3 linked regions of the Mus musculus genome follow. The protein of the gene in region 2 interacts with the protein of the main gene of each other region in a pairwise test. Links are inferred from orthologs where the notes say so. Each region holds a gene or a part of one and is shown on either strand. Other genes may lie near its edges. The genes, in order: Fosl2, Creb5 and Spry1.

Region 1 (4,468 bases), on a different chromosome or scaffold from region 2:
GAAAAAAAAAAAAACAAGCGCGCGCGCGCGCACACACACACACACACACACACACACACAACACACACACACACAAAAAGGGGAAGCAGTGGGCAGCCAGGCTCCGAGTGAAAAATGGGCAGGCCAGCCCCGCCTGGCGACGCCGCGCCGCACCCCGCCAAGACCCGGCCGCAGGGTGGCGCGGGTGCCCGGTGCGCCCAGGACGCCCGCTGTACCGGGCGGCGCCGCTGAGGGTGCGGACGACTGCGCACGGCCGCGCCCTCCCCGCGAGCAGCTCTGCGCGCCGGGCTCTCTGCCTCGCGGTGGCGCCGCACTGAGCCGCCCGTCTCGTCTTCAGGGCTGCGATTTTTTTTTTTTTTTTTTTTTTTTCCTTTTCTAAAACCCGGAGCCCAGGCCGGCGCGGCCGCTTTCGGGGCCCCGCCCCGCGCCCCTTCCTTTTGGTTGGGGATGGAGGGGAGGAGGTAGGGAGGCCAGGGCGCAGGCGGGAGCAGGCGAGGGAATCCCTCTCCCTCCACGTCACCCGAAGGCGAGGAAACCCGCATTCGCGTCCTCTAACGCAAATGACCATCTTTGGCAACGTGCGCCAATGGAACAGACCAAGGGCGCTGCGCCCCAGGGGGGGTGGAGGAGTTCGGCGAGAACGCGGGCGGCCTCGGCGCCCCCGTAGTGCGAGGGCCGCGCTCTCCCACCCTCCCCGCCTCCCGCCTTCCTCGCGCGGGGTCTGTGGCTGGCGTCAGCGCGACCGCGAGCGAGGCCGGGAGGGGAGCGCCCCGCCCGCCTTCTCCCCTCCCCTCCCGCGCCTCTTCCTCCTCCTCCTTGTCCCAGGCCTCCTCCCCCGCCGCCTCGAGCGCTCCTCCCAGCAAGGTGGAGTCTAAGGTTGACGTGAGTGGATCCACATGGTGCGGGGCTGGAGAATAAAGAGTGTGGAGTTGAACTCGTGCCATTGTAGTGACTCATCTCGGGCAGAGCGCAGGGGCTCGAAGCGAGACAGTGAGCGGCGCTCGGCAGGGACAGAGAGAGAGAAAGAGAGCGAGCGCAAGAAAGAGGGGGAGAGAGGGGAGGGCGAAGCGAGGCGAGAAGCGCGAGGCTTGGCAGGTCCTGGAGCCAGCACGGGGTGCAGGTCACTGCGACGCGGAGCCACGTCCCTCTCAGCACCGCTCAGCCTAGAATCCCACGGGCGCTGTCCCACCGGCGCGATCGGGGCCGCTGGACCGGCGCTCACCGCCTTGTCCTAAGTCAAGTGTCCGAGTCGCCGGGAAACTCAGGCGGCGAGTTGGCCACAGGAAGTTTATTCTCGGGCTCCTTTTCTAAAAGGAGGAAACAGAAGTTTCTCCCAACCGGCAGCTTTTCTTTTTCGCCTTTTTGGCGCCCTGAGAGATCGGGGAGGGAGTCCCCCAGAGCTGCCAAGCGACACCCGCGGGGCTCCTAGTCTTTTTGCGTTGCCCATTTTTCTCCAGCCCGTGGGTCCCGGCAGAGCTCCGGCTGCGCGCGGGGGCGGAAGGGCGCGCGCAGGGGAGGGACCGAGGGACGCGCCGACTTTTTAGAGGGAGGGACTCGGTGGACAACCGGTTCCGCGGAGCTTGCAGAGCAGAAACGAAGTGCGGTGCGCGGCGATCGGGGGGGTCACTTCCCGAGTGTCGCTGCCTCCTGTCTGCCTTGGTTAGGGGACATCCCGGGAGCGAAAAGCCCAGCCCGTGGCCGGGCCGGTGGACCAGCGAGCGCGCAGCAGACTGTGCGCGGCCGCGGCGAGGGCGGGGAAGAAAACCACCCTGTTTCCTCTCCGGCCCCCACCGCGGATCATGTACCAGGATTATCCCGGGAACTTTGACACCTCGTCCCGGGGCAGCAGCGGCTCTCCTGCGCACGCCGAGTCCTACTCCAGCGGTGGCGGCGGCCAGCAGGTACGTGCGGGCCGGGGTGCACCTGGCGGCGCGGGCAGACTCCTACCCTCTTCTTGCTCCCACTGCCTCCACCCCCAACCTCCTTCTTTTCCCTTTCCTAGCCAGGCTAGAAAAATACTTCACCGCTGTAAGTTGTGGGTTTCTTTTCTTTTCTTTTTCTTTTTTTTTTTCCTGTTCCGCCCTACCCACTCTCCACTTTTCTTTTTCTTTTTCTTTTCTTTTCTTTTCTTTTTTTTTAAGCAAGTGGAGAGTGGGCTTGAAGAGCCAACGACACCCTCTCCCCCTTTTCGTACTTAATTTTCCAGAAAAGCTCTTGAAATTACAGGTCCCCTCCGGGAAGCCTGTTGCCTCCTTCCGAGCCGCTCTCCCTCCCTTTTCACGTTCCTCTTTCTAGGTAGTGGATAGGCAAGAAAATTTTTGCGCCCCCTAAGCCCCTCCCAGCCGTCAAGGACCCTACGGGGGGGGGCGGGGGGGAAGGCTTTTTAACCCTTTCTTCTTCTGTTATTCTTCGGTCTTAGCTGTTTTCTGAAAGGGATTGGGGACTCAAAAACAAAGCTGGGCTCCTTCAAGTGTTTGGGAGTGAGGGCGAGGGTTGCCCCTGGGAATTAGGTGCGAAGGTCAGGAAGGAAGAAGCTGGCTTTGATTGGCTCTTGACACCTCCTGTGACACCCCCCCTCCAGCTTCCGGTAAGGGTTGGGCAGGAGCCTGTACTTCCCCCCCCCCCCAGCAGAACTTTGAGGGGCTTGGGGGTACCTGGGGCAAAGAAGCTGTCAGAGAGAAGTGGGAGAAAGAGACACATCGCTTGAGCTCCTGAGTGGATTTAGAAGTAGAAAAACATCTCTTTCTAAAGCAGCCAGACTGGTTTGCACTGAAGGATTGTGCCTGTAATCTGTGTCTTTGTAGGTACCAGACAGGTATTGGTGGGGCGGTAGGGGTGGTAGGGTACCTGGCCTGTGTCGCAGGAACCACAAACACCATCTTGTGAGGGAATTGCATGAACTCAAAAGGTCCTCTGCCACCTGAAGCCCACCTTGGCAAGCATCTGGGAGTTCCTAGCCAAGCTGGCTGCAGCCAGAGTTACTCCATAAGCCAATAGCCATGGCCTTGACTTTGACCTTTAGAAGTCAACCAGATAGGAGGTCAGGGGTCTTCCAGGGAAGGGTGGAGTGAGCTGGGAAATATAATAAAAATATGGCTTTCTTTGTAATCTGACAAGAGGGGCACCTCTCTCAAAGTAATGTTCCATATCTGGGGAGTCCTTCTAAATGACTTTTCTGTGTCTAGCTCCTCCCAAGCCCCATACCTACTAAGCACCCACTGTAGACAGCCTGGTCTGAGCATTGAGGGTCCAGTCAGTGGACCCTTTCTTACTACTGAACACCCAAATCATACCTGAGAAGTAGTCGCTTATGTTTGCATCCCAGTACATTTGGTGTTTTGGGTTGAACCCAAACATCACTCATCAATGGGTTTAGAGTCCTTTATACCTGTTGTCCCCTACTTTCCAATCCAATAACCCCACCCCATGTACCTCTCCTTTCCAACCAACATAGAAGCTTTGCGTTTCTGTTTCTTCCACTAATGAGACCAAGACAGTGAGCACTGACAGTACAATCTCCCTGCCTGGCTTTGCTCAGACTCTGGGGCCTGGATGGGAAGTCAGACCGGACATCAGTGCCCCAACTGAATAATCTGTGTCACTAGGGCTTTGAGCCCAGGATGTGAGCGGAGGCAATTCCCTGTTTTGGAAGCAAATCAGACAGGAAACCGATGCTCGGATGAAGGAAGAGAGCTCCGTCCAGCAGTGTGTAATAGGGCCTCATTACCCAAGCAAAAAGCAGCTGTTGGCTAATTCCTAGCATGCTGTAACACAGGAGGATTTTGCAATTAGCAGCAACCAGTGCATGCGATTCTCAGGTATAGCTGCCTATTCTGCTCAGCCTTATGAGCAAGAAGTCTTTCAAACCAGAGGGATTGGCAAGGTAATGCCACTTAAGCCAACTCTCAGCCTTGTCGGGGCGGTGGGTAGGAGACGAGGAACAGGGGGAAGGCTTCCCCCTCCCTGATCTGGCTGTCTATAAAACTGTTCTGTGGTCCCAGTGATAGGCCTCTGTTTTTGTTACTTCCCAAGTCTGTGCTGCTACCCCACCCCAATCTGGGCTCAAGGTAACTTTATTACATGCCAGATAAAGTCTGTAATCAGCTCTGCTCCCAGCCCTCTACATGGGGAAGCTTTCCTGGCAGTTAGTGACTGGGCCTTCCTCCTTTATGACTGCACGGTGGACCAATCCAATCAGTGGAACTTGTGAGAAGTTCCTGGTTTTCCTTGTGCAAGTGCATACTATTTTCCCCCTGTTCTCCTTGTTTGTGGGGTCCTGTATCCCCATAAATTTGCTGTCTGGCACTCCCCCCCCGACCCCCCCCCCCGCGACATCTAGCTTCATAAGGTCTTAATACTGCGTCTTAGTACTAAGTACCTAGTACTTCCCCACTGACCTGTGGGGTGGGAGGCAGACAGCTCTTTGTTAAGACCTCTGCTTGTGTCTATGGCAGGAACTCAAAACACG
Region 2 (4,336 bases):
TCTTCCACTTAGTATGTCAAAACCAGCTCAGAAATGTGACAATTTGGGCAAAGCATTACGATTCCTAGCCAGTCTAGTCATGATCCTCTGGCAGACTACACAGTCAGGCTGTGATGCATTGGGATGAGAGGCACTATATAAATGTCAGATGTTACATAAATGTCAGGAGCCATTATTGTTTGTTAATGGGGGCTAAACTGTTCCTAAGCAAAGATCCAACTCCCAGCCAGCAAGCTCTTAGTTGAAGTTCTAACCAGTCAGCCATCAGAAAAGAATTAATATGCCTGATTCTACCAAGGAACCCAGGTGAGATCTGGGGTTAGACATGCGCTAGAGTGGTCCCTGATGATCAGGAGAGCTCCTAGCCTTCTGAGTCTGTCTGCCTCAGCTCAGCTGTGAAATAGAGATAATTACAACACACTCCCCGCTTTTCCTTATTCTGTCAAAGTCATATGAGGAAGAAGAAAATGGTGTGGCTTCAAGTGTTTGGCAAAGTGTGAGCTGTTGTTGGATGACAGTGGTCATTTCGAACAGGCTTTCAATGCTCCCCAAAGGGAGAGAGAGCTTCCAAAAGGAAATCTAGCCCTTGCCAGGGATGAGGAAGGTGAGAGCGGTGGCTTCTGGCCCATGCTGAAAAAGGTCAGTCCTCTTTTCCCTTTGCAGACCTGGCCCTAGATCCTGTATTCTAGCCCTGGCTCGACTGCTTCCCAGCCGGCGAGCTTGGGCCAGTAGCAGAGGCTCTGGAAGCAATGGCCAGGGCCCTTCCGGCGCTGACGCGGAGTCTAAATCCGGCTCATCATTTGGCTCTTGGCTGAGATTCGCCTTTCGCCTTTAGAGAGATTCTCTCACAGGTCAGCACATGCAAGGTGCGAGACCAGGGAAGGCTGTGTGTAGTCCTACTGAGTGTGCACAAGAAGTTATATGCCCTTGAGCGTGATGAGGAGAGGGGCGGCGAAATGGAGATACTAAGAAGCCAGCATGCAGAGAACGCTGCAATGAGGTCATGGCTGTCACAGGCAAAGGATCTGGGTATCTTCGGTGGCTGGGGTAGGGAAGTAGGAAGTGGCCTGCATTTGTAAGTGTAAATGTCTCTTTCTACCTCCTTCAGCATCCTTACCACCTCATGCACACACCCCAAACCTTACTTCTTTCTGACCCTACAGACACTTCTTGCAGAAGAGCTCGTGCCGGTGTCTCCTGCGTGGCTCTGTTTGAAACCTTCAGGATTGTTTCCAAGCTGACTCACACCACTAATGTCGGGGGGCCGTGTTACTCGGCGCTGGGCTGTGCAAGCTGTTGCTTGCGCGATCGCGGACGCCGCCGCAAGCACCCGGGTCCGCTCGAGGGGCGGGATTTGGGCGGGGCGGAGACCGGGCCCGCCCCCTCGGCGTGCGGGCCCCGCCCCTCTCTCCCTCCTTTTCCCCAACGGACCGCAATGATTTAGAAGTTCAGGAATCCCACGTGACGTCACCGGGGGGGTGATGTAATGCACTCTAAATAGAATGTATTGTAATCTTTGCTCAGTCCAACGTGGTCCCTTCACCCGGGCTCGGCTCTTGCCTTCTCCACACTTGTTTGGTAAGTTCCTAAAAATACGGCGCGGCCACTTCTGGGCCTTTTGCATTTAGCCACTTTCGCTGCACTTGCCGCGCGAGCCGACTCCGGAGCGTCCTTGTTTGCAGGGGTTGGTTCATCGCTGCAGCCGCGAGGTTACTTAGTCCAATGGGCAGGTCACAGGGCAAGGAGTAGAAAGGATGCGATGCATTTTTTCCCCCTTGATTTGTGTTTGTAAACACTTTGGCGGATCAGAAGGAAGTCCGGCCCCAATTGCTGGTGGACTGTGGAGTTGTGCTGTGTCCTGTAGTCACCCAGAGACCCCACGCCGTGTCCGTCCCGGAGCGCTTCTTGGTGATTGCTGCGCCGTGCGACTGGAGGGATGCTGAGTGGAGCCAGCGCCGTGTCCGACCCAGTGTGCGTGCGTGTATGGGAGCGCGCGTGAGTTTCCCTGACACGGGGAACAGTTATGAATCGGGGGTGTATGTTTGCCTCCAGAGCCCCGGCATGGTGTGGAACCCTTCTGAAGTGTGGTCAAGCGGCGGTGGTGGTGGCGGCGGCGGAGGCGGCAGTGGTAGCAGCAGCAGCAACAGACCAGGAACCTGGAGCCTCCTCGCATCCCGTTTCTCAGTGATGCAGCGGAACCCCGGGAGAAAGTTAGCAAACTTCCAACCGTTGCGGCAAAGTCGCCTGGTCACCTAGGGGCAGCCGAGCGAGTTCGCAGGGGGTTCTCCCTCTCCCGGGTGCCCAGCGGCCGCTGCCAGTTCTCGCGACCGGCCGCCGGCTGCAGCGGGAGGGTCGGTTGCCTTGGAGGGGGACTTGACTTTCGCTCCAGGCGCTCCAGCTCGAGAGTGCTCCGCAGCCCTCGCCTTCACTCCTGCAGCCGCCTCCCGCCTCCGTCCCCTTTGCGCTGGCACTCTTACTTCTTCCGGGCTGCTGCCCCAAATGACAGCTGGGGCCCGAGCCGCACTGCACCCAGGCGGTTCTCAGGACCGGGCGACAGAGTCTGCCTTTGAGCCAGATTCTTTATCGAACCGCTTAAACTTTTCACAAAGTTCTTAAAGGGTTGAGACAAGCAGACACCGCCCCCACTAAGCCACTTTAGAGGGACTATAGCCCGCTTTAATTTTTCATTTATTTTCTAGTCATAGATTTATTTCCAGGGAGTGTCTAGTAGAAAAAGCTCCAGCTTTCCCTGGACGAGTGCCGCCCCCACTTGATGCTGGTTCAACGCTGGGAACTAGAGTGGGCTACTTGTACATCGTTGTCAGTATCAGCAACGCTTGCTTGGTTTTTTATTTTTCCCTCTTCCTGACATGTGTCAAAGAATAAAGGCTGGCTACAGGTCCATTACGTCATTCTGCAGGCCAGTAAGTGTTTTATTAAGGGCTTCAGATATTCAAGGGTTTGGGGGCTCAGAATGCTGTCAAAGCAACTATGCCCCCATCCCCCGGGGCAATTGCGGGTTCTCTGGACACAGCTATTGCCCTCTCTTTCCCTACCCCTCTTCCTCCATCCCTCTCCCGCCCACCTCGTTATCACTCGGCCTGCCCCCGCCTTTTACAGTTTCCCCCAGGGGGAATGCTGTCCCAGGAGTGAGCTGAAGAGCTTCTGGTGCCTGAGCGAGCTCAGTACCTGATGAACGCTCAATCTGCCCTTTTCTATTATTTAAGAAAGGCACTATCCAGGCCCGTTTTTCCCACGCGAGAATGTTCAGCCTGGATAGAAAAATCCCTGGAAAGGTTTAGAAGCCTTATATGCTAATAGCTTGTGCCTGCAGTGACTTAGGAAAGCAATAAGCCACAGCTAAGAGCCCAGAGCCCCGTGAACCGAGCCTAGGAGAAGGATGAAGGACCTGACTAAATCAGGTTTAGCGGGAAAGGATCTAGATTTGACATTTTATTTCCAAAGTCAAGGAAGTGTCTGAGAGCTGAAAGTACCATACAACACTTTGCTGCTGCTGCGCGCGGTACTTTCTTATCCTTATCCTTGAGTTTCTATGTTTGTAGAGGAAGTTAAACGCCCAATTTAGAGAACTGAGTTCTTCCCCACTTGCTCTTTAAAAGAACACCAGCAGCAAAAACACCACCACGTGTGACTTGTTTCGGGGACAAAGAGTGAAAACTTTTGGGCGTGAGTGAATAATGATAGCAGAAATCCAGTAAAAACAGACAGAGGCAGAAGCTTTGGGCTGGGGGACAAGGTGTTTGAAGGCGTTTTGATTTGGAGATGGAGGAAGCTAAGTAGAGGAAATTTTATGTTCTAAATAGGTGGCATTCTTGAAGAACACGTGTTTGGTTATAATTAGATCTACTTTCTCCAACATACTCTGGCCATAGAGCAGGCTTTGTGGAGCTCGTGGCTGGAGATCGCTTGACACCCCTTCTTCAAGTTTGTGGCAGCATTATTTATTGGCATCTAGCGATGAAGTGGCATAAGTCTCCTATGGGAAGCATGGGCATTGAAAATGTTAAAATTCTTGTTTGTGATGCAGAGACCTAAAGGGGAAAATGGGCAGGTCACGGGCCCTGGACAGTGTGATTAATGATCACTGATTTAGTGATCAGTGATTAGTGGTTTTATTCAAACTGTTACCTCTGACCAGAAGCACACATCAGAGGATTAACAGGCTCTTTAGATAAATGCTCATTAGTGGAAGGGGAACAGCAAAGATAATAGGCATGCACCCAGGGACAACTTTCGAAGAAAATCATTCCCGTCTTCAGAATAATAAGCTCTGTTAACAGAAAGCCCTTTTAATTTAAAACTTGCTTTTATCTTG
Region 3 (3,983 bases), on a different chromosome or scaffold from region 2:
CAAACAGCTTCTTGGCTTTTAATACGTTCTATTACCTTCTAGTGCACTTTCTTACTGCTGATCTTCTTCATAGGGAGTGTCCTGGGTTCCTTGCATGTAATTCCACACATAACCGTGAATTCTAAAAACATTCAAAAGCTTGCAAATGCATTATGCCAACAACAACAAAAACTTTATAAAAACTCACTGCAATTGTTAAGACTTAAAAAAAAAATTACTTTGAACCCAAAATATCCTAACTCACATTCACAGGTGATTTAGATCATGGAGTTTTTGTTTATCAAATACCATTCCTGATAAAATTCCCTGGAAAAATATTTTCTATCAATATTTTGGGGGTCTTAGGTTATTTTTAAAACTCTATGGAATTTTTAATTCCACATACAGCCCTTTTCACTACATCCTGAGCTATAGCGTCCATATAATAAATAACCAAATTCCATAGTATGTAAAGACGCAAAAAGCATTCCCAGCTTACTAAAGTCCCCCACCCCGTGACAGACATATGGCTAAAGCTAAAACTTCCTGATGAGTTATGCTTATTTTATTTCATTTAAAATGCATTGGTGTTTTGGACAAAATTATACAAACATTACAAAGCAGGAAGAACTTGGGCCCCGTTTTCTCCCCTTCCCCTCCCCCCGTGTAATTTTAGGGATCGTATCACAAACCAAATGGAGCAATCACTAAAACCCCACAGCAGGAAATCCCACCCTTTAGTGTGTAATTATATTACATTTGCAAAAATGACTGTTCTTTCTGAAACTTTCATATTTCGCATGATCTGAACTTTGCACTTTTCCCTTTATCTGGGGGCACGGTGTCATGGTGTACACATTTTTTTTTCCGTTGTTGTTGGTGGTTTGTTATTGTTTTTTAAATGTTCTTCACAACTCTTTTTAAACTCAACTCTAAGGGTGGCTGCACCAGTCCCCTTAAATTGGAGGCTGACAGCTCACGACTGACAGGGGCCCTGGAATGCCCGCTCCTCCCCAGTTGCGCTCGCAGGACTCCTGCAGGCAATCGACTTTTGTTAGAGCGTCCTCGAGTCCACATCCACGATCGCTGAAATCCTGCTCCGGGTTTTCGTGCAGCCCGCGTGATTGACACATGATATCACCGGGGGCGGGTCCCGGCGTGGAGGTGGAGGTGGCGGCGACGCTGAAATGCTGCGGAGCCCGCGCGCGAGTGCTCAGCACGCAGGGGTTTGCGGCGGCCCCGCAGCCAGAGCTCTGCGGGCTAAGGAGCGGCTGCGAGCGGCGTGCATGTGCCGGGAGGGCCGGCCCCAGGCTCTGCACTAGGTAAGAGCCTTCCCCTCCCGCCGAGGACCTGGCAAGATCAGGTGAGAATGGTGCTTTATTTTATTTTATTTTCGAGGAGCTGGACGTTTTCGGAGCTGGCTCTAGCTCTGTGCCCGGCGCTTTGCGGTCGGCCCTGCAGCGAGTTCCGTAGCCAGGCAGCGAGTTACGCGTGTGCGAACGCGGGCTGGCACCGCCGCGCACCCGCGTGTCTGTGCGCATTGTTGGGGACCGACCCGCCGGGCGCTCGTGCCAGACCTGACTTTTCCCGTCCCTGCGTGCGGGCTTGCCTCGCGCAGACGCGTCTCTCGGACGCGCTTTGGACTGCGGGGCATTCCGTGGGGGCAAAACGTGCACGGCCGTGTGTGTCCGGGGCTCGTGGCTGTCCATCTCGGCGAGCAGGACAGCGTCCCGGGCTGGCAAGGGACTCACGTGTTTCTGTCTCTGCTCGTCTGCAGCCGGCGTGGCGACTGCGGGGACGCGGACCTGCGGGGACCCGAGAGCCCGGGACGACGCCGGGCCGCGCGCCTGACGACCGGGACGGGACGGTGCTGTGGAGCGGGCGCCGCGCGCACCCGGCGGATGTCCCCGAGCCGCCCTCGGCCGCCGCCAACCGCGGAGAAGCGCCCCTGCCCGGGGGCCGCCGAGGCCGCAGCGCGGGCCATGCGCGCCCGGCCGCCCCGCCGCGCTTGATGCGGCGCGCGCTCCGCCCGCTCGGCGCCCCCGGCCGGCGCCGCGGAGGCCGAGGTGAGTGCGGGCGGCAGGTGCGGGCCGGGGCGGGCCGGGCGGTCCTGGCGGTCCTCGCGCAGCCCGTGCCAAGCGCGCGGCACCCGATGGCGCTGGGGACCCAGCGCCCGCCTGTGCTCGGAGCGCAGTGCCGCGGGACGCGGGGAGAGGGCGCTGCCTCCTCCCGCCCGCGAGCTGTTTTCATTCATAACTTTATCCGGCCGGACCTGCCGCGGCTCGGTGCCCCTGAGGTCTCGGCGTGGGGCCCAAGCGCCCGACGGTGCTACCCACACTGCTGTCCGCGGGTGCGCACCGGCTTCGCTCTGGACAGTTGCGGGGTGCCTAGGTGCTCCGCCTGAGCGAACTTGCTTGGGAATGCCCTGTAAAATGCAAATTAAAGCCGTGCCTAGGGGTTTCATAACTCAAACAAGCCGTGCCCACGTCTTCCTTTCTTGTGGATGAGACTTGGCATATTTAAAGTCTTCGTTATGGAGTTTTAAATTTTTAAAAAATAGATATGGCACAGGAGCAAGGATGGGCAGTTTTCTAGTGTCGTTTAGGGCTTCGGCACCACAACATGCTGTTATGGCCGTGCATCTCATGTGCGGAGAAGGTAGTTATAAGCTTAGAGGGGCCTCCAAAAAGCTAACACATATGTAGTCTGGGGACATTAGTTAGCATCCATAGTAAACCGACGTATTTGTTTTGATTTTCTTTGGATGCCAGAAAAGTGCAAAGGGGTGCCTTCTTGAATTAAGGTGCATCTGTGAGTTCGGAAGGCATTTGTGTAAAAAAATATCTTAGATACCTATTGCCCAGAAACAGAATCGAAAGAGTTTGGTCTGTCTCAGGAAGAATACGTTATAAATTGGAAGCTATTTCCTTTTGACATGGAAGTTGTGTTTGTTGTCTATCAGTGTATTTATTTTACTACAAAAAGCAGGTCAATTCAGGGCTTGTGAAAATCAAGGTCTGTCGTGCTAATAAATGAAGGGAATTAAATATAATGTAAAAAGACCAGGGCTCCTCTCCCTGCTTTAAAGGGCTGACACTTGTGCATAAGTTATCCTCGTTGTGTGGGGGAGCCTTGATTAACCTTTAAGGAAAGCTAAGTCCACACCGTCCGGGTTGTGTTCTTTGTGGCAGAGCACTCTTCATTCTTTGTAGCTTCCTTTGCTCGTCTCACAGATCTGTGTGATGAGCTAGCTTCAGACCCGGACTTCTGCTGAAAATGGCCTTTTGAGATTCCGAGTGAGCTTGGAATAGCCGGTGTTTTGGAAATTGCCTTGATTAATTTTCTCATTAATCTAAAGCTCGTAACAGCATATAAATGGCCGAGAGGCCACAGCACTAAAGCCATTCTTAATCTTTAAAAAGTAGCTGACATTTTCCTTACGTGAACTGCCAGTGAACTGACAGTGAACTCTGAGAACAGTTCCAGGGCTCACACTGAATTGCTCTTTCGAAGGCATATTTCATTTTAATTATTTGTTAGGTTTGCAAACAGGAAGACACGACTTCCTCTGCTTCTTAGAAGCTGGAGAGCAACTTCTAATTTTTAAGGCATGAGGTCTTTGCTGTCTTCCTGTGATATGGTCCTCTGCAATCTTTTTTTTGGAGTTGGACTCTGGCCAGGCTTCGGCATCATTGAAATCAGCCGATGAAGGGGATCATTACCAGGTGGCTTGGGGAATTTGTTACTTGACAGCAGCCCTTCTCCCCCAAATCCGCTTTCTGTCGCTTATTTTCTCTCTCACTCTTCTTTAGGATTTCAGATGCATGGCAGATTTCCGCTGACTGCTGGAACTGGAGATCACTCCACATGGATTCCCCAAGTCAGCATGGCAGCCACACTTCGCTAGTGGTGATTCAGCCACCGGCTGTGGAAGGCCGGCAGAGGTTAGACTATGACAGGGACACTCAGCCTGCTACGATTCTGTCCCTAGACCAGATCAAAGC

Evidence for each region.
Region 1: the proteins of Creb5 (region 2) and Fosl2 interact in binary tests that used the Homo sapiens proteins (3 or more experiments, as listed by UniProt). The two-hybrid records come from large-scale screens. The link is inferred for Mus musculus from reciprocal best matches to the Homo sapiens genes CREB5 and FOSL2.
Region 3: the proteins of Creb5 (region 2) and Spry1 interact in binary tests that used the Homo sapiens proteins (3 or more experiments, as listed by UniProt). The two-hybrid records come from large-scale screens. The link is inferred for Mus musculus from reciprocal best matches to the Homo sapiens genes CREB5 and SPRY1.

The regions. Positions count from the first base shown.
Region 1 is NC_000071.6:32,134,905-32,139,372, forward strand, and holds the start of Fosl2 (fos-related antigen 2), read left to right. Parts: upstream 1-1,567; 5' UTR 1,568-1,799; coding exon 1,800-1,901; intron 1,902-4,468.
Region 2 is NC_000072.6:53,285,796-53,290,131, forward strand, and holds the start of Creb5 (cyclic AMP-responsive element-binding protein 5), read left to right. Parts: upstream 1-1,507; 5' UTR 1,508-1,578; intron 1,579-1,579; exon of another isoform or gene 1,580-3,687; intron 3,688-3,693; exon of another isoform or gene 3,694-4,336. UniProt on the Homo sapiens protein: Binds to the cAMP response element and activates transcription.
Region 3 is NC_000069.6:37,638,764-37,642,746, forward strand, and holds the start of Spry1 (protein sprouty homolog 1), read left to right. Parts: upstream 1-1,183; 5' UTR 1,184-1,342; intron 1,343-1,756; 5' UTR 1,757-2,045; intron 2,046-3,791; 5' UTR 3,792-3,846; coding exon 3,847-3,983. UniProt on the Homo sapiens protein: Inhibits fibroblast growth factor (FGF)-induced retinal lens fiber differentiation, probably by inhibiting FGF-mediated phosphorylation of ERK1/2. Inhibits TGFB-induced epithelial-to-mesenchymal transition in lens epithelial cells.